Linked DNA regions of Arabidopsis thaliana. The protein of the gene in region 1 interacts with the protein of each later gene in a pairwise test. Each region holds a gene or a part of one and is shown on either strand. Other genes may lie near its edges.

Evidence for each region.
Region 2: the proteins of AS2 (region 1) and AS1 interact in a two-hybrid assay, tested with the Arabidopsis thaliana proteins (4 studies listed by BioGRID, with this or other methods).
Region 3: the proteins of AS2 (region 1) and EMF2 interact in a protein complementation assay, tested with the Arabidopsis thaliana proteins (one study listed by BioGRID).
Region 4: the proteins of AS2 (region 1) and TCP4 interact in a two-hybrid assay, tested with the Arabidopsis thaliana proteins (one study listed by BioGRID).

The regions. Positions count from the first base shown.
Region 1 is NC_003070.9:24,396,388-24,401,499, reverse strand, and holds AS2 (Lateral organ boundaries (LOB) domain family protein), read right to left. Parts: upstream 3,358-5,112; 5' UTR 2,987-3,357; exon of another isoform or gene 2,186-2,986; intron 2,183-2,185; exon of another isoform or gene 1,788-2,182; 5' UTR 1,671-1,787; intron 1,405-1,670; 5' UTR 1,355-1,404; coding exon 755-1,354; 3' UTR 514-754; downstream 1-513. UniProt on the Arabidopsis thaliana protein: Negative regulator of cell proliferation in the adaxial side of leaves. Regulates the formation of a symmetric lamina and the establishment of venation.
Region 2 is NC_003071.7:15,780,726-15,785,371, forward strand, and holds AS1 (myb-like HTH transcriptional regulator family protein), read right to left. Parts: upstream 2,756-4,646; 5' UTR 2,556-2,755; intron 2,227-2,555; 5' UTR 2,177-2,226; coding exon 1,073-2,176; 3' UTR 517-1,072; downstream 1-516. Other genes in the region: ACT1 (actin 1), read left to right, coding at 1-339, 451-516.
Region 3 is NC_003076.8:20,821,815-20,829,685, reverse strand, and holds EMF2 (VEFS-Box of polycomb protein), read right to left. Parts: upstream 6,043-7,871; 5' UTR 5,728-6,042; exon of another isoform or gene 5,622-5,727; 5' UTR 5,534-5,621; coding exon 5,496-5,533; intron 5,324-5,495; coding exon 5,176-5,323; intron 4,959-5,175; coding exon 4,903-4,958; intron 4,757-4,902; coding exon 4,642-4,756; intron 4,545-4,641; coding exon 4,385-4,544; intron 4,293-4,384; coding exon 4,242-4,292; intron 4,035-4,241; coding exon 3,895-4,034; intron 3,691-3,894; coding exon 3,628-3,690; intron 3,538-3,627; coding exon 3,416-3,537; intron 3,174-3,415; coding exon 3,109-3,173; intron 3,011-3,108; coding exon 2,958-3,010; intron 2,850-2,957; coding exon 2,796-2,849; intron 2,713-2,795; coding exon 2,653-2,712; intron 2,233-2,652; coding exon 2,186-2,232; intron 2,103-2,185; coding exon 2,002-2,102; intron 1,835-2,001; coding exon 1,615-1,834; intron 1,459-1,614; coding exon 1,410-1,458; intron 1,335-1,409; coding exon 1,251-1,334; intron 905-1,250; and 7 more. Other genes in the region: AT5G51220 (ubiquinol-cytochrome C chaperone family protein), read left to right, coding at 6,561-6,728, 7,057-7,270, 7,368-7,534, 7,638-7,762. UniProt on the Arabidopsis thaliana protein: Polycomb group (PcG) protein. Involved in flowering processes by repressing unknown target genes and preventing reproductive development.
Region 4 is NC_003074.8:5,059,754-5,064,689, reverse strand, and holds TCP4 (TCP family transcription factor 4), read right to left. Parts: upstream 3,010-4,936; 5' UTR 2,383-3,009; coding exon 1,120-2,382; 3' UTR 1,092-1,119; intron 1,010-1,091; 3' UTR 538-1,009; downstream 1-537. UniProt on the Arabidopsis thaliana protein: Transcription factor playing a pivotal role in the control of morphogenesis of shoot organs by negatively regulating the expression of boundary-specific genes such as CUC genes, probably through the induction of miRNA (e.g. miR164).

The DNA.
Region 1 (5,112 bases):
GTGACAATTAGTATTTACAACAACAATAAATAGAGTCATCATAAATAGATGAAGGAGACTTTTTAATTAGAGAGAAAGCCTAGAAAGAGCTAGTGGGTATAATTCGCCCGGAGATAAGATGTTTCATGTTCATGTTATATTCCGTTAAGCCTCTTCTTACATCAAATCTTATCCTTGACGCTGACAGTGTTCCACATCAAACCTCTTTTCTTGCAAATATCATTTATATAAATATGTCAATTTTAAATGTTTTTAATAGTTTTCCTTTATTATTTAATTTTAAAATTTGAACTACAAAAAAAATAAAAGGAAAACACTATAATACATTTATCTACATGGTATACACTATATTTCATATTCATAATTTTTACTAATAATGTTTTTTAAATACTTAAGAAGTCTAACATTAACCATTAAAATCACTCAATGATTAACTGAATTTAGGTCTATATTCTTGCTGGAGGTACATATGCGGATCAATAGACTCGACATATTTGGAAATAATATACTCTATAATGCAAGTATGTGATATCAATTAAGAGAGCAAGTCCATAAAATTTGAAAGAAATACAAAAGTGACTATCATAATATATCTAAGTAATAATAATAATAAAAACCGAAATTAATGTCATTAAGAGAGACGTACCATACGTTTAAAATATTTTGGTTTTCCACATCAAATATTTTCTTAAAATTATAGTTTTCTCATCACCAAGCGATCGACGAAGATGAACACCACCAAAACCCTAAAATCTCAAGACGGATCAACAGTACGGCGACCATCATCTCCAGCGGCGGCTCTCGGCTGCTGAAACTGAGTGATCTGTCCAATGGCAAGAATCCCACCGTCGTAGTTGTTACCGGCCGGAACATCCAAGCCACCAAACATTTGTTCTCTAGGAAAAAACTGGTGGTGGTGATAGTGGTCTCTCACGGCGGTGGCTGTTCCATCTGCTGCTCCGGCGAGTAAGTTGATGCCAAGACTCTGATGAGTGGCGGCGAGGATACCGAGGCTTTGGTACTTAGAGAGCTCAGATTTAGCACAGCTGAGATCTATCTGAAGCTGACGAAGCTGATGTTGGAGGAGAGAGATGACGCCGACGCAGCCGTAGACAGGGTCACGGAGGCGCATGTCGGCTTCATAGGCCAAAGAGTTCACTGCGTCTTCACGTTGTGAAGGGTGAAGCTCGTTGAGGAGCTTTGTCACGTTACTTGCTCCAAACACTTTGTGAACGTTTGCGAATTTTTGTGGCTGGTCCGGTGGGAAATAGGGCGCGAATACACATTCCGGTTGACATTTTCGCCGGAGGAATTTGCAAGCGGCGCATGGTGAGTTTGTTGAAGAAGATGCCATTTTAATGACTTGAAAATGGAGTTTTTCAATTTTTTCTCTTTTCCCTCTCCCTACACAAAGCCGCCATTGAAAATTGAGAGAAATAAGGGTTTTTGAATTTAGTTTTTGGAGGTAGAAGGTATAAGGAAACAAAAAAAGATATTATGAAATCAATTGTGATTTTGGAGATATTACATTATCTGTTTTTGTAATCAAATATGAAATTAAGTGAGAAAATAAAGAAAGAAATAATGTAGAGAAGTTGCTCAATCTTTATTGTTGTCAATTAAAAAAAAAAAAAAGTTGTTCAATCTCTATAGAATAAGAAAGCTTTTACCTGCGAGTAAATTAAAGAAGCCTTTCTTTGAATAATGGCTTCTGTTGCTCAGAGGGGAAATAAAAGAAGATCCTCTCTGCTTTCTTTAAGCTGCTATTTGGGGTTGCATACAAAAAGCTGTAAAATAAGAGAAACTTTGCAATTAGTAGTATTAAAGATATTTGGTGAGCTATATATGCACATACACTACACACACACATAAGTGTATATGTATACTTATATATACTGATCCAACCTTCTTGTCAACTGTTGAAAGCAAATAGAGGAAAAAATGAGTAACATGAAGGTGCTTTTCGAAAGTCAAACATAAAGGTATGCATCCAAATATATAATATATGCTTGGGAGATAAAAGATCATTTCAGACCTAGAGATATGTGTAGCTATATGATATAGAGGAACTTGTAGCTATATGATTGCTAGTCAAATTTTGGTAACTAGACCTAAGAGTCTAGAGACAACCTGAGAGATTTAAAATCATTATAAAAACAAATTAAAAAGAGATGGAAATTTGTACCGTGTAGTTGGAATGCGTATGGATGGATTAACGAAATATAGGGAACAAAACAGATGGGATCAATGGTGTTCTTTGTGTTGCTTATAGGTAGGTATGAGAGAGGGAAGAAGAAGAGAGAAGAGAAGGAAGAAGATGTAATTAATTACTAAAAAGCAAAAGATTGGATCTCGTGAAGAAGAAGAGACTTTTGGGTTTTGAGGCTCTCGATGGGCAAAGCTCATCTTGTGCTTAAATTTCCTATTATATTAGTATTTTATAAGAAAATGAGCTAATAAATATGATAAGACTAGTACTAATTAATGTTATTTATTTTTAATATATATACTTAACTAAATAAATAACTATAGAGTATACCTTCAATAGTAATAGGATTTGGTACTAGAGGGAATTGATTTCCATGTGAAGAAGTTGCGAGTTTCTAAGGAGAAGAAGGGATATTGGGATGAACCCTTGGACCCTAGCATAGACTCTAACAACAATAATAACAATAAATGTATAGTTATTAGTATTAAATTTCAAAATAAAAAAGTATCTAGAAAGAAAAAAAAGGAAATAAATGTGAAAAGGAGAGATGGGAAATGAGAGATGGGGTCTGACTCTGACTCTCCTGATGGATCTTGGGATGAAGAATTTTGCTCTTTTTATTCTTATTCTTTTTGTCTAGGGATTTACATACAGTAACCAAGCATTTTGTTATTACTATTATTATACTCTCTACTAGTAATTCGCATTAATATTATATGATACGGTTTGACAAAAGCTAAAATATAAATACAGTCGAAAAGTTGATAATGAAGTTACCGTCCTCAAAGTTTCTTCGGTCAAACCCATTTTTTCATGTTTCTTTATACCAAAATCCATAAGAATCTACTGCCACTTTCTTTCTTCTCTTCTCTCTCTTTCTCTAATTACAATATATAATATTATATTAGGATCATGCAAGTGTCTTTATTTTTGACTCGCTAGTTTTACGCAAAGTAAGAAAGAAAAAAAATAGAAAAGAAAATAAGTGAAAGAAAAGAGGAAGGCATAGAAAGATGATGAGTTTAGGATCAGTACTCCCTAAGGTGTAGGGAGATAGAAAGAGAAAATCGCCCAGATGCAGAGGCTAAGGAAACGGAGAGAAAGAACAACTTTTATGGTGTGTCGATATATAGAGATAGAGAGAGAGTGAGTGATCACGGACTCTGTCTTTCTTCTCTATATATATCTTCATACTTTCCTCTACGGGAAAATTAGGAGATATACCATGAAACTTGTTTATATAATGATACCTACTTTGTTTTTGGAGTTTAAAAGATAACCCATGATTAGTAACCCTATGAGATTAATGTTACTGGGACATTAGTAATTTTTAAGATGAGGTTATAGTATTTTTTGTTTATGCATTTTTAGTTTGAATTTCCAAATGTGAAGGGAATAGAAAAACATTAATGGAAGTTTTGTATCGAACTGTTGAGAAAGGGGTTAGAGACAGTGGCACCGTTTCTTAGATGCTTTAGGTTTTTAGACATTTTGGTGTTAATAATTGAAGTTACATTCTCAAGACACAAGACTTTGTATATAGTTCTGCATTTTGTTGTATATCTTAAAAATCCTCGAAAATGTTATTATCAGAAATGGATACTTGTTTTTAGTTGGTTTCATAAAGTGTGCCATTTTTGTATAACAACAATACAACCATAATTCAAGTTCATTTTTACTAGTAACTACAGTACTTTTTTTTATGAATCTGAAACCTCAACCAACAGAGCCAAATTCAACCAATACAACAACTACAATAAATGTGTACATTTACCTTATGTACTAGCAGAAATATTCTAAAACTTTGGGTTAAGCGATTGTCAAGGTTTTAAACTCTCTTTTTTCACTACTAGTTCTCCTTTCTTGGTAACAAATGTCAAGTTAAGCAAATTTAAACACTCGATTAAGTAATCAGAACCGAAATTTAGTTGGTCTCTACGATTAGGTCATCACTTTTTACGTACGACCTAACCTAACGAAGAAGCGTGCAAAGAGAAAAAAGAATGGTTATCATGATCATATAACATTTAAAACATTAGTCAATTTGGAGAGAGAACAAGAATGGGAAATGAATAGAAGCAAGTGGGTCGTGGTTGCATATTGCATTGTTGTAATTACTGTTGGAGCAGAGTCTGCAACACTATTTACTCGTACCCATTTTCAAACGACAACCATTCCTTTTATTTATATATTTATTCATTACTTTTGAAATAAAACTATTCATGTCTTCATGTTCTTTGTCTTCTTCCTTCGTTTATAACAATGGGTCCAAAAATCATAGAATTCACACCATATGGATGGTTACACTCCTTCTCTCCAATTAATATTCATAATAAGTATGTTTGGCTGATATCGTTTTCATATTTTTCCATTATTATATATACATTGCGTCTTCTTCTAAAACTAGTTTGGATTTAAATTACAATGTTTTCCACATTTCGGGCCCTACTTACAAGCTTTTTAGTATATAAGTAATAAGTTTACGATTAAGTAAAATCATCTCCAATTTTGAAAATGTTACCTGAACAATCAAGTATAGAAAGTAAGACTAAAATAGTAAAACCAAATACTTCTAAGAATTGTTACACTAGAATAGTTACACTATAACAGTTAATGGAGCTATCCACTTTTGACTAGTCTTGCGGATATATAAACATCTTTATTCAGATAACTCATGGTGACATAAAAAGATTAAAAAAGTTTATTTGATAAACTAAGTATTTGAAACAAAACATTATTTTAACACTTTTAACAGAATTCTAACTTATAACTGACTATATTGATAGTGAGTACATTATCACAATCCTCTATACATATTTTAGGGTTCCTCATTCAAGTATGAGGTTTCTAATACATTTTACTTGGGATAATGGTTCTTTTAGCAATTCATCTCGACATAAGTT
Region 2 (4,646 bases), on another chromosome or scaffold:
CTACCTGATGGGCAAGTGATCACCATTGGATCAGAGCGATTCCGTTGTCCTGAGGTTCTTTACCAGCCATCTATGATTGGTATGGAGAATGCTGGTATCCATGAAACCACCTATAACTCCATAATGAAGTGTGATGTCGACATCAGGAAGGACTTGTACGGTAACATTGTGCTCAGTGGTGGAACCACAATGTTCCCTGGAATCGCCGACAGAATGAGCAAAGAGATCACTGCTTTGGCTCCAAGCAGCATGAAGATCAAAGTCGTTGCCCCTCCAGAGAGGAAATACTCTGTCTGGATTGGAGGGTCCATCTTGGCCTCCCTCAGTACCTTCCAGCAGGTACACACAGTCCCATCACTTGTTTACTCTAAACAGACCTAAACTAAATCCTAATCACTCTCAGCTTAACTAAACTGGTTCAATTCTGAAACTATGTGTTACCTTGTGCAGATGTGGATCGCAAAGGCAGAGTATGACGAGTCAGGTCCATCGATTGTTCACAGGAAGTGCTTCTGAGTTCAAAGTTGATCATTTTTCAGAGAAGAAGCACCGCCAGGGTTTTTCCGACCATTTCTCAAGCCGGGTTTTTAATCTTCCGTTATTCTGCTCTTTGTTTTTGTTCTCTTATGTTTTGAAATTCATGCCAAATACATTTTCATGGATTTATGGTAATCTGTTTGTAGTATGGTTTAAAATCTAATGCAACTGTGTTTTTGAGTGAATAAGTACACACCTCTTCCTCTTCAATTTTTCAATTATTATGTAACAATTTGTTTTCTGTCTTCTACTTGAATTTACACATGTAAAGATATAAATCGATTTTATTTATAAACCAAAGTGTTGCAGCTGACTAAATCAACATCAAGCTTGAGAAAACAAAGCCATGGATAAACTGAAGTGATAAATGGAACACAAAGGTAAAAGAAACAAATACAAAGCTGAGGTAAGGAACCCAAAAGTCTAAGTAAACATTGGAGACACCCAAATGATCAAAGACAAAAAAAAACAAAAAAAAACAAAAAAAAAACCTTACATTACATTACAAGTTACAACAAAGAGTTTAGGAGACGGTTCAGGGGCGGTCTAATCTGCAACCCATTTGTTGTTCAAGAAACTTGGTGAGTCTGATATGCCTAGAGGTCCATTGATCAGCCAGTTTCTGGTCTTTGGCCTCTGCGTCTCGCCTCAAACCAACGAGCTGTTCTCTGTACTCTCCTTCGATCTTCTCCATTGCGTTCTTCTGCTCTTCCCTAAGAGCTTTCATCTTTGCCTCAATCTCCTCCATCTTCTCCCTTTGTCTACACGTCTTCTCTGACTCTAGCTGCAGCTCCAGCCTTCTTAGCCTCCATGCAGCCTCTTTCTTATGGTCTGCCCAAGCTCGGTGCCCTTCCTCCAACTCTCTACAACACTCCACAAGCTCTGACAAGAACACACTCTCGCTACTCCCACTACAAGACGGCATCATACTCCCTAACACAAGTCCCCCTGGACCGTTCTCTGCTCTCTCAGGCTGTTGCTGCTGCAGCCACGGGATTGGCGGTTGAGGCGCAGCTGCAGCCACTGTGGAAGGCGATAATGTCAAAGTTACCGAGGGAGGCCTTGCAACAACATTGTTCCCATTGTTAGAAGTAGCTAACCAAGGCGGGATCACTGGGTTAGGAGGCTGAACTTGTTGTTCAGAATGTAAAAACCCTCCATTCGAATTAGCCATCACAACCGTTGCAGCAGCGGCAGCAGCAGGGACAACGTTAGACCGCTCTTTGACAAGCTTCTCAGCGAAACTCTCGAGAATCCGATCGTACTTACTCTCGTCAATAGGCTCAACTCTCTTGTTACTCTCTTTCTCTTCTCTCTGTTGCTTCTCCTTAAACACTTCCCACCACTTCCCTAACCGCTTTGCCGTCCTCCCGGGAACCTCAGCAGCAATCTTCTTCCACTTGTTGCCGTGTTTCTCCTGAAGACGGATCACAAGCCTCTGCTCTTCCTCTGTCAAAGACCCTTTCTTGATCCCTGGCTTAAGATAATTCTTCCATCTCTCTAAACAAGACTTGGCGTCACGGTTCAAAGGTTTGTTCATACGCTCAGACACAAGATGCCATTCTCTCGGACCGAACTGTCTAACGTAAGCACGTAACAATGCATCTTCTTCACCACTCCAACGTTGTCTCTCTTTCATCTCCTACTCCTCCTGACATCACTTCTTCCCATCTCACCATCCTTCTTCATCTGTACCAAATTCAAAATCAACCCGTTTCATAAATCTCTCCAATTCAAAACTCTAAAAGATCGAAACAAATCTACAAGATCTGTCGAATTTTCGAATTAGAAATTACAAAGTCTGAAAAATTTCCGTTTCAAGAAATGAAAATGACAAAAACTTTGACAATGTTTGAAGCAAAACTTGGAATAATTTGTTATTATCACACTATACAACCTATATTCTGGAAACCAAACAGGGGAAATTAATGCTGACCCCAAAACACTATTAAGCAAAGACTTATTAAGAAGATAAGAGAGTTAAAATTATTACTATAAAACAAAATAAAAATGCTTACCAAATGATATTGAAAAGATAAATAATCCCAAACTCAAGAGCAACTTCCATCACACAGATTTGCTCTCTCTCTCACTTTTTTTTTTTTATATAGTTGGAGAAAATGGAAGAGAGAAAACGAAAAGACCAAAGTGAGAGAGGCTTTTAAAACCAGACGACGTACACGATTAGACCACAGAGACGGCATAATTAAAATAAAATCTTTAAAAAAAAAAAGAGAGAAAAAGTTTACCGACTGAGACACAGACGTTTTCCCCTTTTTACATCACAAGTGGGGAAAAAAAAAACTCTGACAGAGGCGCGTGGAGGTGAAAAGTTGAAATTCCATAAGTTCGTTGTTTGTCATTGACAATATTAAACCTTTTTTTATATATATTTACTACATTGGGATCTCAAAATTCATTTTTCTATAACATTATGAGAAATAAAATGACAATCTAATGTAGGGGATGCTTTAAATTTAAATGAAAAAGTGTTGTACTTTAGTGGCTGAAAAGTCATTTACTTGTCAAAATGATAGAAGAAAAACTAACCATTCAAGAAAATAATGCTCCATTTATAAACTCCTTCACTCAAACAATAGAATTTTATGTCCAATTTGAGTAACATTAATTTCCACTTACCCATAAGAAAAATAATTATAATAGCATAAAAATAGTTAACATTTAAACTTGTTGATTTATTTTCCAAACACTTATATTTTGAAACAGCATATTAACATGGAAAAGTATTTGTTGAAAATGGAAGATTTCGCAATGATGATCAAATAGAGATGAGAAAATAAAGTTTTTGCAATGAGAAGAGATAGAACATCACTAATGTTACTCCCTATCAAAAAAAAAATCAATAATGTTGCAAGAAAAAAAAGAGAAATTTTATTTAAAAAATGAGCAAAACTAGAAATAATCAAGTAATTTTATAAAACCTTAGAAGATCTTTCTATTTGCCATTTGAAAACTTTAATTAGTAAAATAGATTTGGCTAAACAAATAAAAAAAACTTTTAGGCTAAAAATTGGATTTGACGTATGAGTAATTGGGGATGAGGGGGACACGTGTCAGAAAATGGGAATGGTATCTTTTGGGGAAAGCATGTAAGTGTGTAATAATGGTCCCCTTCTCTCTCCCATAACCCTACCAAAAATACTTTTCTTTGTTCCATCACATCCGACTACCACTACTCACTCACACCCTCCGTTTTTTTTTTCTGCTACCATGCGCCAAAATCTTCATAGCGTATTTTAGTATTTCTCCGACGTCTATAATCAGGCAGACAAAACTTTCACTCTTTTATCATTGCATCAACTAGTCACTCATCACCCCCAAGTATCTAGCTTATACAAATTAGGCAACCACATGTTTTCTATATAATATGATGTCACTAAGGTCTATTTATATATTATTATAATAAGATTATTGTTGACATTGTTGTTGTAATAGTGATACTGTAATACTATTATTCTAATAATGTATTTGGATAATTCAGTGTTGCATTATGTGTAATAGTTAATCGTAGCAGACACAGCATTACTAAGTCAATACATTTTATTTTCGATTTTTTTTGATAAAAATTTAGTTTGCAATGGTTTCCATTTTCTATTGTAATTTGTAAATCATTTCATCATGCAAACTTTTTAAGAGACATGACCTGACATTAAAAGTTCTTTTCACAAAATTAGAATGTTAACTACAAAAAAGTGAAGAGAATTTTCAAAATAAAATCACTACAAATATAGTAATAATATCTTTTTTTTTTTTTTTTTTTTTTACAGCAATAGTAGTAATATCTTTCCCCAACAAATTAAGCTGAAAAAATCAATATTCAAGAAACTAGTTTACTCTCAATTTTTTTTTTTTTTTTTTTTTTTTGTCAATCAGTTTACTCTCAAGTCTCAAAATAATACAAGAAATTATGCAGTGGTGTTGGTGTGATCTTACACAGAGGAGCGGAGAGAACAGCCAACATGGTAGGTTGATTTAACCAAAACAAGAAAAGTATGTTGATATGAGAATAGTGGTGGGCCTTGGATGGGCCTGCTTTGAAGGATAAAAAAATAAATTATCGATGTGTATGATTTACTTGACCGTTTGAT
Region 3 (7,871 bases), on another chromosome or scaffold:
CTAATATTTTTTCATGGACATATGTTGATGCATGTTTCCAGAGTAACATCCATGTCTGGTTTCCAGTGTACAAAGTCAATTAGTATTTCAAGTTTTCAACCATATGATATCCTAAATGAGTAAGGAACATGTATAAAGCATTACTCGAAGAACAAGCGTCAAAGATAAGCCAATGTACACATTTATAATTAAAAAAAAAAAAAAAAAAGATGAGGACAAATTCATGCATAAATATGCTCCTCTTTCTCTTAAAACACCAAAAGTAGTTAAATGAGAACCCAAAACTCTTCTTCTCTTGTCTTTCTTTGTTTTTCTACTTAAATTAATGATTTCTTGGGTTTTCAAATTTGGAGCTGTTCGAGAAAGGTATTACAGTTGTTCATGGTTCGGGCATCAAGAAGACCGTGGTTCCACAGTTTCACCATAAACACTCTCCAGCACCTACACAAAAAAAGCTCACTTTTATCAACAAAACCGCTTTCTTCTCCGATACACTGGAAAAAACAATGGAAGAAATGAGAGTTGAATTACCAAATCAAGTGCGGTGTTCGAACCATGATGGGTCCGTGCAATCTTGAGAATGCCTCGCATGCCCATGGAATGTGACCATCTGCTAATACTCTGCAAAGGGTCCAAAACCACTGTCAAGGTAATGCTTATAATGAGTCAGAGAACATGGATGCGTATGTTATCTAATTGTTCAGTTTTTTTTTTTTAACCAGAAGAACTCATGCAGGAATTATCCACAACCTTTACATGCGCGACTCTAAATGTTTATACTGGAAAACTCCACGTGACATGTACTGAAAAGAGATAAGACATACCGCTGCTTCCTCACAAACGAGTTCCACATGTGCATCATCTGTTTCTCATCTTTAGTCACATCAACGAAATCATCGAGCATCTGAAAGAATAGTAATAGGAAATAACGTTATTCACTATATGGAGAATCAGACAAACTATGTTAGAATCAACTATGTTAGAATCGAGTACAAACGGACACACTTCGTCTTTTAATGAGTGTTATATAAGCACTAATGATCTGGTTCTACTGTTCCATATCAAACCGTGAGGCTTGCTCACATATTTTCTATTGATCTCTGAACCATTACAATATTGCTCCTAACGTTTGCCCATGCCCAGTCTTCAATATTCCTTTCCCTTTCACATGAAACATATATCTACCCAACTACTGAGCTTTATTCTACCCAACTACTGATGCGGTGAAAATATTAAATTCAAAAACATACCCTTCTATCTTCAAAATCTGCCACATCATCATCAACTTCATCTTCACTATCCCGGTCCGAAAGTACTTGTTCTAGAGCCATGGGCTGCGATAGTACACATAGCAAAGTCAAAATCAATTGCAATCTTCAAAAGCAAGAGAGCTAAAGAAAAAAGATCACCTGAGCTCGATGAGAGTGGAAGAACTGTCTCTTCTGAAGGAGGCTTCGGCTGGAGGAGGAAAAAATTTGAAAAACTCACTCACATCATTTGGGATTAACAAGCTACTTGTTATAAAACTAGGACACAATTTTTCATGCATGAACCATATGTAGTTAAATATAAATTGAAGAAGAGGATAGAACGACAAAAGGAAGTCAAACATACTTCCTCAAGTCCGACCGTTCTATAGATATTTTCCTCGTTTTTGCAAACTGCAACATTGTACTTCCAGCTATCGACTGCACATAATCTGGATCCCCACATGATTGCACGTCTGCAGGACTCGTGCCAGGAGGAACTCTTTGACCAGACTCAGCACCCCCAATTCTTTCGTAATGCTTTCCAGGTGGTATTCGGCTCTTCTCACTTCTAACAGAATGAGCATCTGAAAGTAAGAATAAAAAGCTGTGCCAAATGATCCAACGTTGTTGCATGCAAAATTGCACATAACAAAGTAAAATACTCGTAAAATATACAACTAAGACAGGCTCTCATCACAAAAGAAGCCAATACTACAAATCCAATTAACTGTCATTTCAGTCAAACACATACCATCAGTCTTATCTAGCACCTCGCAACCTAATCCAAGATGAGGCCCTTGCCTTGAGCTCCGTACCTGACTCTTTTGCCTCCTCCGTCTGAATTTTTTGGAACTGTCACATATTGAAGAATTTTTATGGTCTCACACAGATGCTGGAAAGATAATAAAAGGCAACATATAGGCCAGATAACTTACGAAAAAAAGAAAGTTTGCTGCTTTGGGTCAACGTCATCCTCATTAACCTGAGCAGATTTTTTAATGAACATTAACATTTAGAAAACTGTGCTAAGAGTAATCATCAAATAGGAAAAACTACAAAGACATAGAATATATTGTAGAACCAACTACTTCAATTAGATTTGACACTCCTATATAATCCAGGACTTTATTCTACAGTCGAGCTTTGACGGTCTCATGGCCACAAAAAGTAAACAGAACAGCGATGTCATTTTGAGTTTATTCTCATCACGCTATTAAGGACAATAGCAAGGATCATAGTGTGACAAATAGCAACTAAAGATTCCAGTTCCCTTATTTAACCACACAAAAGTCAACAACCCATGGAGGATATTAGTTTAAATGAAAAATGAATTTGTTACAGCCTATAAGATATACAGCAGAGAAACTAATGAACATAAATCGAACAAACAAGATGTTCTAACCTTGGATATCATTGTCTCAGTCTTGAGGGAGACATTTACCGCCTGAAATTCTTCAGTTACCTAACCAAGTAAAGCAGATTAGTGGCACCCACAAAATAAAAAAAAAAGATCAAACAGGTTAACTGAATTTTAAAGCTACAAACCCAAAACTCGAAATTGAGGAGATCGTGGGTTGATGGCAAGTGATATCTCAGGCCCTACAACATGATTGGGAGAAAAAGAAAAGATTGCATCACTACAAAGACTAGTCACTACAGCTGTATCTTTGACTAAGAGGATGAATGAGAATGGAAATGAAAGTCCACCTTGAAACTGGCACATTTTACTAAGCAGAATGGACAAGAAAAGTCTTCAGTTACTGCAAGACACATAGCAAACATATACGTAACAGGTTAGGGTAACGGATGAAATATAGACACACATGGGTATGAAACAGGTTAAAATAATACTAGTTACCTTCAGTCTTCTGCAATTTGTTGTTATAGTATCTGTAGTTGAAAACTACATTTCCTGTTCTCAACCTATGCAATGAATGTAGTGGTATAGAGTCAACTTAACGAGATGGACATTTTTAGTTGTACGTAACGACTTGTATAATCCCCATAAAAGAGGAGGACAGTCACAATTCAAGAAAACTGCCAACTATATATTAAGGGAGATAGCAGACCGGCCAATATATTTTATACAATTACAAAAAATCATAATGAGATGAGGCAAGAAATCTGAGAGCGCAGAAGAAATTGCAGACTAAACTGAAGATTACCTGATAATTTGCAACAAGGAAGAGGAAGAGATGTCATTATATGAAAATGAACTATAAGGAGATTTTTCCGTTGACCCAACTTCTTCTGCAGATATGGTGACTTGCACTTGCTGCGGAGAGCTCTTCAAATAAGAAGTGTAAGAATTGTAAGAATATGATTACATGATATTTCAGAATAATGTATGGAAGTATAGCAAAGTGTGCAAAGTTACCGAGGTGAGTGGATTGCTGGGCACCTGAATCGAGACACACTTTTCCTCACTCATGGACTTTAGCTGCAGCAATGGACAAGTTATACCAGTAATATTTTCATTTAAATAATCAAGACTGAAAACTAATGGCAAAAATAAAATTCACAGTAGCAATTACTTCCAATTTACTTTTTCAAATAACAAAAGAAGTTCAATACACAGTCCTTATTTCAATACAGGGAGCATAAAGTCATAGAACAAGAGGAAGACTTGGGCAATAGTGTTTACCTTTATGAAGCAAGGCTGCATTTCAACAAGAGAGACTGTGTCTACTCTCTGTCCCAAGTCCATGTTTGGTGATTTCTGCCACGACGCATACAGTGATTGCAGAGGTATTTTGCTCCATAAACAATGTCCTCCTATATTTCCTGGCAGAAAAAAACGCTTCCGATGGTAAGAGTTAATGAAAAAAAAGACTTTCAGAAACTCTTATAATTGGAGTCAAAGAATCCCTAATTCTTTTGTTAATAAATAGGACTGAGATTTTCCATACTATTACATGGAAAATTGGTAATGCCCAAAGATACATAACTTTTCAATATTAGAATGTTATATCAATGAAGAAATGGAAGTACCTGAATGAATCTTGCCTGAATCAATGCCAAATTGAGAATTTTGCGCACCAGCTACAAGAAGAAAATTATGTGATCAGTTTATCTGAATACTGTACATATATAAATGTCTTTATATAATTTTGTACACAGTCAGTCTTAATCACCAAAGCTGATAAACAAGATAGCGAGTGATCCTGATTTTGCCTCCAATGCGAGTCTATTCATATCAGGGAGAAGAAAGTTGGCTTGGGCTTGACTAACTCCATCAACCCCCAATCCACCAGTTAGGATACATGCTCGACTGAACCTATATACTGCAGAATACTATAATTTGAGAATTTCAAGAAAAATGTTAGCAAAGAATAGGTAAGTTACAAATAATAAAGATCAATGCAAATCTGTCTGAGGTTCAAATGCATACCTCAGCGACAGGCTTAGGAGAAACGAGTCTTGCCAACAAAATATACAGAGGGAATAATTTTTGAGTTTGTACCCCAGCATCTATAGCGCCCGAGAGGAATACAGTCATTTGTATTCTGCAAAGCAGTAATATATATTGATAACTATCCGAAAACTTAGAAAGCATTCAAGTCCGGAATGAATTACTAAGGTATAGTGTAATAGTTACCCAAAAGTAATGGAGATTCTGAACAGAGAAAGGAAGGAAAAAAAAAAAGCTTACCTCCTTTTATGTTTTGCCTCAATCTTATAATGCAAACATCGCTGAAGAAACAAGGGCTACAGGGGAGACAGAGAGAGAGAAATGATTAGGATGGACTGCATAGCAAGACAACACATACTTGCTTATACCAAATGAAGTCAACTCAAACTACATTTTCATGTAAATTTTCATTGTCAAAACTCAAAAGTAAACCAATACATGTGATATATCAGCTGAGCTCATAAGTCATAACTAAACATATTCTGTCTAAAAAAGGTAGGAAGGAAGACATACATTCCTAATAGCACGGCGTTGAATGATATTGTAGAGTTCAACAGGCTTGCAATAGGCAGCCAAGCTCTCTTCAGCAGCAATCTCCTCCTCTTCCGAAATACGCAGACGGGAGTCTTCATGGCACATCTGCTCTGTGCTTCTTGAACAACTGTGATTTCACCATCATACGCAACCAAAATTGTAAGCAACCCCACAACAAAATAAAAATTTGATAAGTTTGAATTACTAGGATTCCTCAGCTTATACATAAGAGAAACAGTATAAAGTTACACAATGCTGCAGAGACATTATAGAAGCATTAGGTTGTTCATGAGACTTACGAAGAGGTTTCACGACTAACAAGAGGAATGCCTGGCATTCTCGCTACGAGATCCTAGAGTACAATACCATACCCAGAATCAGTGCATACACCATCACAGATTACAAATTTGCTTCAGCTACAAAAGCTGCAACAAAAATCGTAAAGAAGAAAAACCCAATAAATCCCACAACAGCAGAAACGGGTATCAAGCGATTAGCAGGAAAAAAAATGTAAACTTGAACAGTGGTGACCTTCAAAATCCAGCAAAGACTCGGAGTTGAGCTAATTAGATAAAGAACAGATTCAACAAATTGACAGAGATCTCGAAATCAAGGAGAAGGTGAAGATTAGGATGGAGATGGAACAGTTAACTCAGAAGAAAAAAAAAACCCTAATTGTGAGAAATTATCTTCACGCGAATACAGAGGTGACTTTGACAGCTTGAGAGAGAGAAAGAGAGAGATGAAGCGTTTCGAAGAGTAATAAAAAGTGTAAATTGATGATATTGTTGAGGAGACCGTAAATATTTTTGCTCTTGAGAAAATAAGCGTAAACCATGTCCTAAATCAGTAAAATTCGGTGCACAATAAAATCTAATTAAAACTCTTTTCACTAATTGAAACTAAATTCCCCAATGGCCATGAGAAAGCATAATTTCTTAACTATTCAATATAAGCCACTTGAGTTCAAATTAGAGATCCACCAAAAAAATGGATGACAAAGTAGTCATAGTTCCTTATCCCCCTAAAATGATAATGGTATAAACAAACATATTTTATGGTATCATCAACTCTTACTATCTAAAATCGACCATCAGTTTCGTGTCACCAATATCGGTAAAATGTGTTTGTTTTTGCATAACCAAGGTTTTCCGTTCCTAATAACGGCGTAAGTTAGCACTGTAATTGAATATCTGGCCAAATAGACGCTAACGTGGACGACTACCTAGCCCCATCATCAATCACACAGAAAAGGAGTCGGAGAGGGTTTTTCGCCTAGGGTTTTAGAATTCGATCTTACTCATTCAAATTTCTCCCTTCAGATTTATTCATCTGTTGAGTAAAACCACAAGGGTTTCTCTCTAATGTTGCCCAGATTAGCTCGAGTCGTCACTCAAACCTCAAAGCTTCGATCTTTGACCACTAATGGATCGATGAAAAATCTCTCCTTTTTCTCCCGATATGGGTACGCGACTGTTGCGCCGGCGGCAGCTGATCCTCCGTCGCAGAAGGATTTCCCCAGTAAATCTCCGGTATGATCTTAAAGTGGTAACATTTTGTTTACTCAGATTAAAGATCTCGTTTTCAGAAGTAGCTGTTAATGCGTAGTTGTTGTGAATGTTTAGGTCTCACTATAGTATTCGAACCTAAGCTCAATTTGATTCTCTCTGTTTCTAGTTTCATCGAATGCGGGACTAAAGTGACTTCTGCCTCCCCATTGTACCTCATTTAGGATTCATCCCTTTTTTTCTGTTGGAGTTTCATTAGTATGTTTGTGATTTAGATTCATGCTCTTTTAGTCAACTGCTTCTGGACAATCGTGTCTTCTTTGATGAAAAGGATTTGTTCTATGTTTGACAGATAAACTTGGATAAGATGTTTTGGTCAAAGCCATGTTCATTGGCTCTGCCTAAAGACTCTCCTCTCAGAATTGATGAACCAGACTATGTAGGGATTCGTCGTTTCATACTAAAGATGATGATGTTCTATAGCAAACAGAGCATGTCTATCCGTGGGGCTAACGTGATCTACAAGCGGATCATTGCACAAGTTGATAAACCTGCAATATATGATGGTACTTTATTTGGTTTCCAACACAACTTTTGCAAACAGAGTTATGTATTTACATTTTGTGCTTTGTTTATATATCGGGTGCTCTGTCTCTGCTGCAGTATTCAACTTGGAGAAAACATTCAAAATAACGTATTCGCTGCTTGTCCTTCATATGTGGCTTGTTTTACGCCGCTTGAAGGAAGATGGACAGGAAGGTGTTGACCTTGGTCAATACGTCTATGAGATCTACAATCATGATGTTGAACTCAGGGTATCTAAAGCCGGGGTACGTGCTAGACTTGGTTTTGCTTTAATATAGTTTCGAAGAGATATCTTAGTTTCTTAGATTCCTTAAAATAAGATGGTCTTAATCTTTCTTGAAATTACAGGTTAACTTGCTGCTAGCCAAGTGGATGAAGGAGTTGGAGAGAATATTTTATGGAAATGTTGTTGCCTATGATGCTGCGCTACTTCCGGAAGCTAAACCAAATGACCTACAAATCAAATTATGGAGGTAAAGCTTCTATAACGTCATGCTTTATGCAATGAGTTCGGTAGAGATTACACAGCTAAGTAGCTCGGCTTGAATTTATATACAATATGGCAGCCATAGATAACGGATT
Region 4 (4,936 bases), on another chromosome or scaffold:
TCATGACTCATTAGACCTTTAAATTGAAGATTCTTCTTTTCTATCTTTTGATGTAAACGTACTTTATGATATCTCAACTCATCCATCTGGTGTGTTTTGATTACATCACATGAAAAGGTGTTGCTGCTTTTCTATTAAAAGGTAAAGTTAAATATTCTTATAATACACATGCATTTAGACCCCAAGTGTTTTTGACTAAACTTTGCAAAAATCCAATATTATTATCAAAAGATGATGATGATAGAGAAGATAGACTAGTTTTGATCAACTTCCTTCATTTAGACCAACATGGGTGGCTCTCTTTACCTATCTCATGTCCCCATTCTTTTACTCATCAAAGACAACATCACATTCAAGTTTGGTGGATCTCCTCCTACCACTAAAGTAGGTGAGAGAGAACAATTATTGACATCAGACATAGAAAACAATAATCATATTTTTACTCTTAGTGAGCTAAGTTTCACTTGTAATTTAAGGGAACTGGCTAAATCCCCCTGATGTTCCAGAAGAAGAAACAATTCAAAACTTACTGTTCATGGAAAATGACCAACTTATATCTCTTGGGACCAAAAGATTACGTGAGAAATAGGAATCTCATGTTGTTTAAATAACAAGGATCTAGCCTGAACAGAGCAGTAAAAGTAAAACCCAAAGAGAAAGTTTCAGACTTTATTAGAACATCCACGGAGTTACACAATAAGAACAGGGAGCAGTAACAATAGGATGATGATGATACAAAGTTACAAACATAACACAACAAGACGAAACCTTGGAATCTAACCATAATTGAGCTACAGAAGAACGTTGGTCTAACTGGTGAAAATATGAAAAATTACAATCGGCAAGGTTAAGATATTGGAAGAAGAAGAAGAAGAACCTGAAACTGTTGTTCTTTCTTCATTTCCTTGCGTTTTCTAGATTCAGGCCATTGACTACACAAACCGAGAACACCTTCCCTGTTCCGGACAATCTAAGTCAAGCTTCAATGTGCATGGAAGCTAGACAAGCCCTGCAAAATGGTTTAAAGTTCAATGACCAAAGAAGTACAAAAGTAGTGAATTTGATGTAAAAGGACAGAACTTGAGATAAACCTGAAACTTAGAGGATTAGTTTCGATTGTCAATGGCGAGAAATAGAGGAAGCAGAGGACGGCTTGTGAGTGAGACCGTCGTGCTGCTCCTCTTCTTGGCCCTGAAACCGTGCTGGTATGCGAAAACCCGAAGAGAATTCACCTGAGGCGAATCCGATTCCGGGGATTGCTGATTGGTGAACCGGTGGAGGAAGGTGATGGTGGTGGTTGAGATCGTCGGTGGAGATGGATTGGTGATGATGGTGAGGATCAAACCAAGCACGGATCATGGGACTGTAACTGGACTGAAGGGGACCCCTCTGAGAATAAAGCTGTTGGCTTTGGCCAAGAACTGGCTGAAACGACGTCGTTGAAGGAGTAGGAGGAGCGAACAGAAACCCTCCTCCGTTTCCTGTATCGGTTGCTCCGCCGCCACCGCCGCTGTTCCAAGCCACTAGTCTCTGAATCCTTCCGAATTCCGACGACTGCTGCTCCCAACTCGATGTGTCAAACCCTAACGGATTGCTCTGTCCGTAGAACAGAGTAGGCTCGGAGGCGGAAGCAGAGGTGTGGTGGTGATGTTGGTGGTGCAGAAGCGACGGTGGACCATCCGGGAACGATTGCAGCGAGAGACGGAGATCTTGGTTTTGGCTATTAGTTCGAGAAAGCAAATCCGGCGGATGCTGATGATGATAGTTGTGCATAAGGTTATGATTCGAAGGAGCCTCCGTTGAAGAGCCAATCACCGGAAAAAACGACTTTATAGTGTCAGCTATCGAATCTGAATCCATTGACGGCGGGAGAAAACTCGACTCGTTGTTACTCGGATGCTCTGCTCCTCCTCCGTTGAAGCCAACACCGAACTGAAGCTGTTGTTGTTGTTGTTGCTGTTGCGGCGGTGGCGGAGACGGAGAGATTTGGGTTTTGGCGGTGGTTCTTCTGGGTTTAGCGTTAGCAGCGGCTAGGCGAATTGCATCGGCGGGATTCCAGGGAGGAAGCTCAGCGAGCTCGTCAATGGAAGTCTTAGCCTTTTTGATAAGCCAATCAACGGCTTTGCTAGGTCGGTCGAAACCAAGCCTGTCTTGAACATCGTAAAACTGAATCGCCGTGTGAGCAGAGAGTCTCACGCGCCGGTCACGTGGCCCTTTAGCCGTGCAGACTTTGCTGTGGCGGTCTTTTCTTCCGGTAGACCGAACAATGTGACCACCTTGCACCTCAACAATCTCGCCGCAGCCGCCGTCCGCCGCATCCGACGTAGAACGGTGCCTCATTGAAGAAGGAGGCGGCGGGTGATGGAATTGGTCGTCAGACATTGGTAGAGCATATTCGTCGAGACGGCGGCGGCGGCGGCGACGGTGGTCGTCGTTAGAGGGTGAGGAATCCAGAGTAACTCAAAAAGGATGAAACTCCCGCATACTTGCTCTCCTCACCTCAAAACCCTAACCCTAAAAACAATCCTAAGAAGAAGAGGTTTAGTGAAAATTGTGGACTAACCCATATTTGAGAGAATCTCTCTCTTTTTTTCTATAGCTTAAAGTCTCTCTCTATTGTTTGGTCTGTGTAGTAAATAGAAAACGCAAGAAGGAGACCAAAGAGATGAAGCAAGCAAAGCAAGCGAAGGTGAGAGAGAGAAGAGAGAAAGGGAGATGTGTAATTGACCAATCAAGAAAAACCCAGAGAAAGCTTTTCTTTTTATTTTTCTCTCTCGGGAAAATGGTTAAAGAGAAAAAGTAAAATAAGCAGAAGGAAGAGGGAAGAGGAAGAGAGTGTTGTGGGTTTGATGATGACGCAACTGGGTAAGATGACAGTAAGTGTTTTTTTCCTCTCATCTCCACATTCAATACTTTTATTTTTTCTTTCTTTCTTTTTTGGGTAACCAAAGCTTCCTCGTTTCCCAAATTTATTCATTTTTTTCCATTCTTTGTTTAAAAAAAAAATCTGATTGTTATAAGGTTTTAACAGTAAGTATTCATTTTGTTCATGTTAATTTTTAAAATCAATGTTTAACTTAATGTGTAGATGCAAATACAACCAAATAATAATCAACACAATCATAAACTAAATTGTAGGATGCCAAAATATTAGAAAAAAAATAATAATAATAATAATGATGGTTTTTAGAGTTAGATGTTTCCAAAACCAAATTTGTTTACCAAAATAATAGTATAGGATTTGTTATGTGCATGCAAATCATTATGTTATTTTCTAAGAGAATACATTAAACAGACTACTTTAATTTAGTGTGATATAAAAATACTAAGATGTGTTAAAACATCTACTTTTGGTCAGAGTTACTAACTTCCTTGATATGAAAATGGGCACTCTTTTCGTGGACATGTCCACATACATACATAATCATGGGGATTATATACTTAAAAAGTTGAAATCACTGGAATGAACTAGCTACTTTATTTTTCGAGTTTCCGAATTCAATAAATGAATAAATACCCTAAAAACCTATGGTGTTAGATGGGTCAAGGTTCAATTCAACCTTTTGTGCTTCTCGGTTTCTTTTAAGGGTTGACCCATGCTAGTTCAATGCAAATACATAAAGCTTGTTGATGCTCCACTTCTTTTTACCTTTTTGTTGTAAGAATCTCAATAGTTAACTAAAGTAGATTTTATTCGAAAAATCGAACTCGTTAAAAGAAGAATATAATATTAGTTAGCAATACAATTAGGGCTCTTTATAATCTAAGATTTTCTTTTTTCATCTCTCATCTTCGTTTTTGATGTTTTTGTTTTTTGCAATCCTGTTTTAGATTCTATAAACTAGTAACAAACACAATAAGACTCTCGTTATTCTTTGTTCTAAAATCCAATACTTCTTTTCTAGCTATTTTGACTTGTGGAACTAATTGATTTCACCGTATCGTGTTCGTGTGCATATCACCCAAATTCATATATGAAAGGTATTTTGAAATTGAAGAATACGACGTATAAATAAACTAATAAAGGTGAGTAAAAGACAATCTAAGCTTCAACGGAGACATTTCTAAGATCTTGAGAATTTTACGAGTTCAAAAATAATTGGTGGGACTCTATAATAATAGTATAATGCTTCTTGAATCCCAACCAATTTGACTATAACTCTCACAACTAATTCATGTATGGAATATATTGTGGTTATAATACTTGTACCACAAAATATCTCCAGATTGGTGAAAAACGAATAAATACAACAAACCTATTATATTGTTCACACAATTTTGTAGCATATTAAATTTGAACACACGTACGGTAAGCTAACGTAATTTTCAAGTAGTTGAATATGTTTTTTCTTCAAAGCAATAATAAAAACTTGACGCAAAGGATCATAACTATATAATTTTTTAGTTGGAAAAATATATATAGTATACAGCATTATTTGATAGTTTAAAACTATTCATATAAATAATTACTATTAGACCACCTACTTTAATGTAATAATAAATCAGAAAGTGACATATTAGCATGATAGAAAAGGGTCAATTAACAAACCTAATACGAACACAATAAAATAATTAATCAAACAAAACAAAATATAATATTTAAACATGAAATAGGTTGTTTAGTAGAGAAAAGGAGAATATATGTCATCCCACGGTTGCATATTAATTAAATGTAAATCAAAAGTAGCTTCCACTTGGAATTACGGTCACGATTTGCAACACAACAAAATAGAATGATTACGAGAGATTTAAATTCTTAATTATGGGGAAATTTGTATGAAATGCAATAATTAAGCACAATAATGTCATTGATTATTAACGTCAGTTTTAGTTTTTGACATCAATATTAATTAAATGTATATATATACGCCTCATCAAAATGATATTGTGATCATCAAAGTAGTTGACAATATGGCCAAGTAGGCAAGTAGTATGT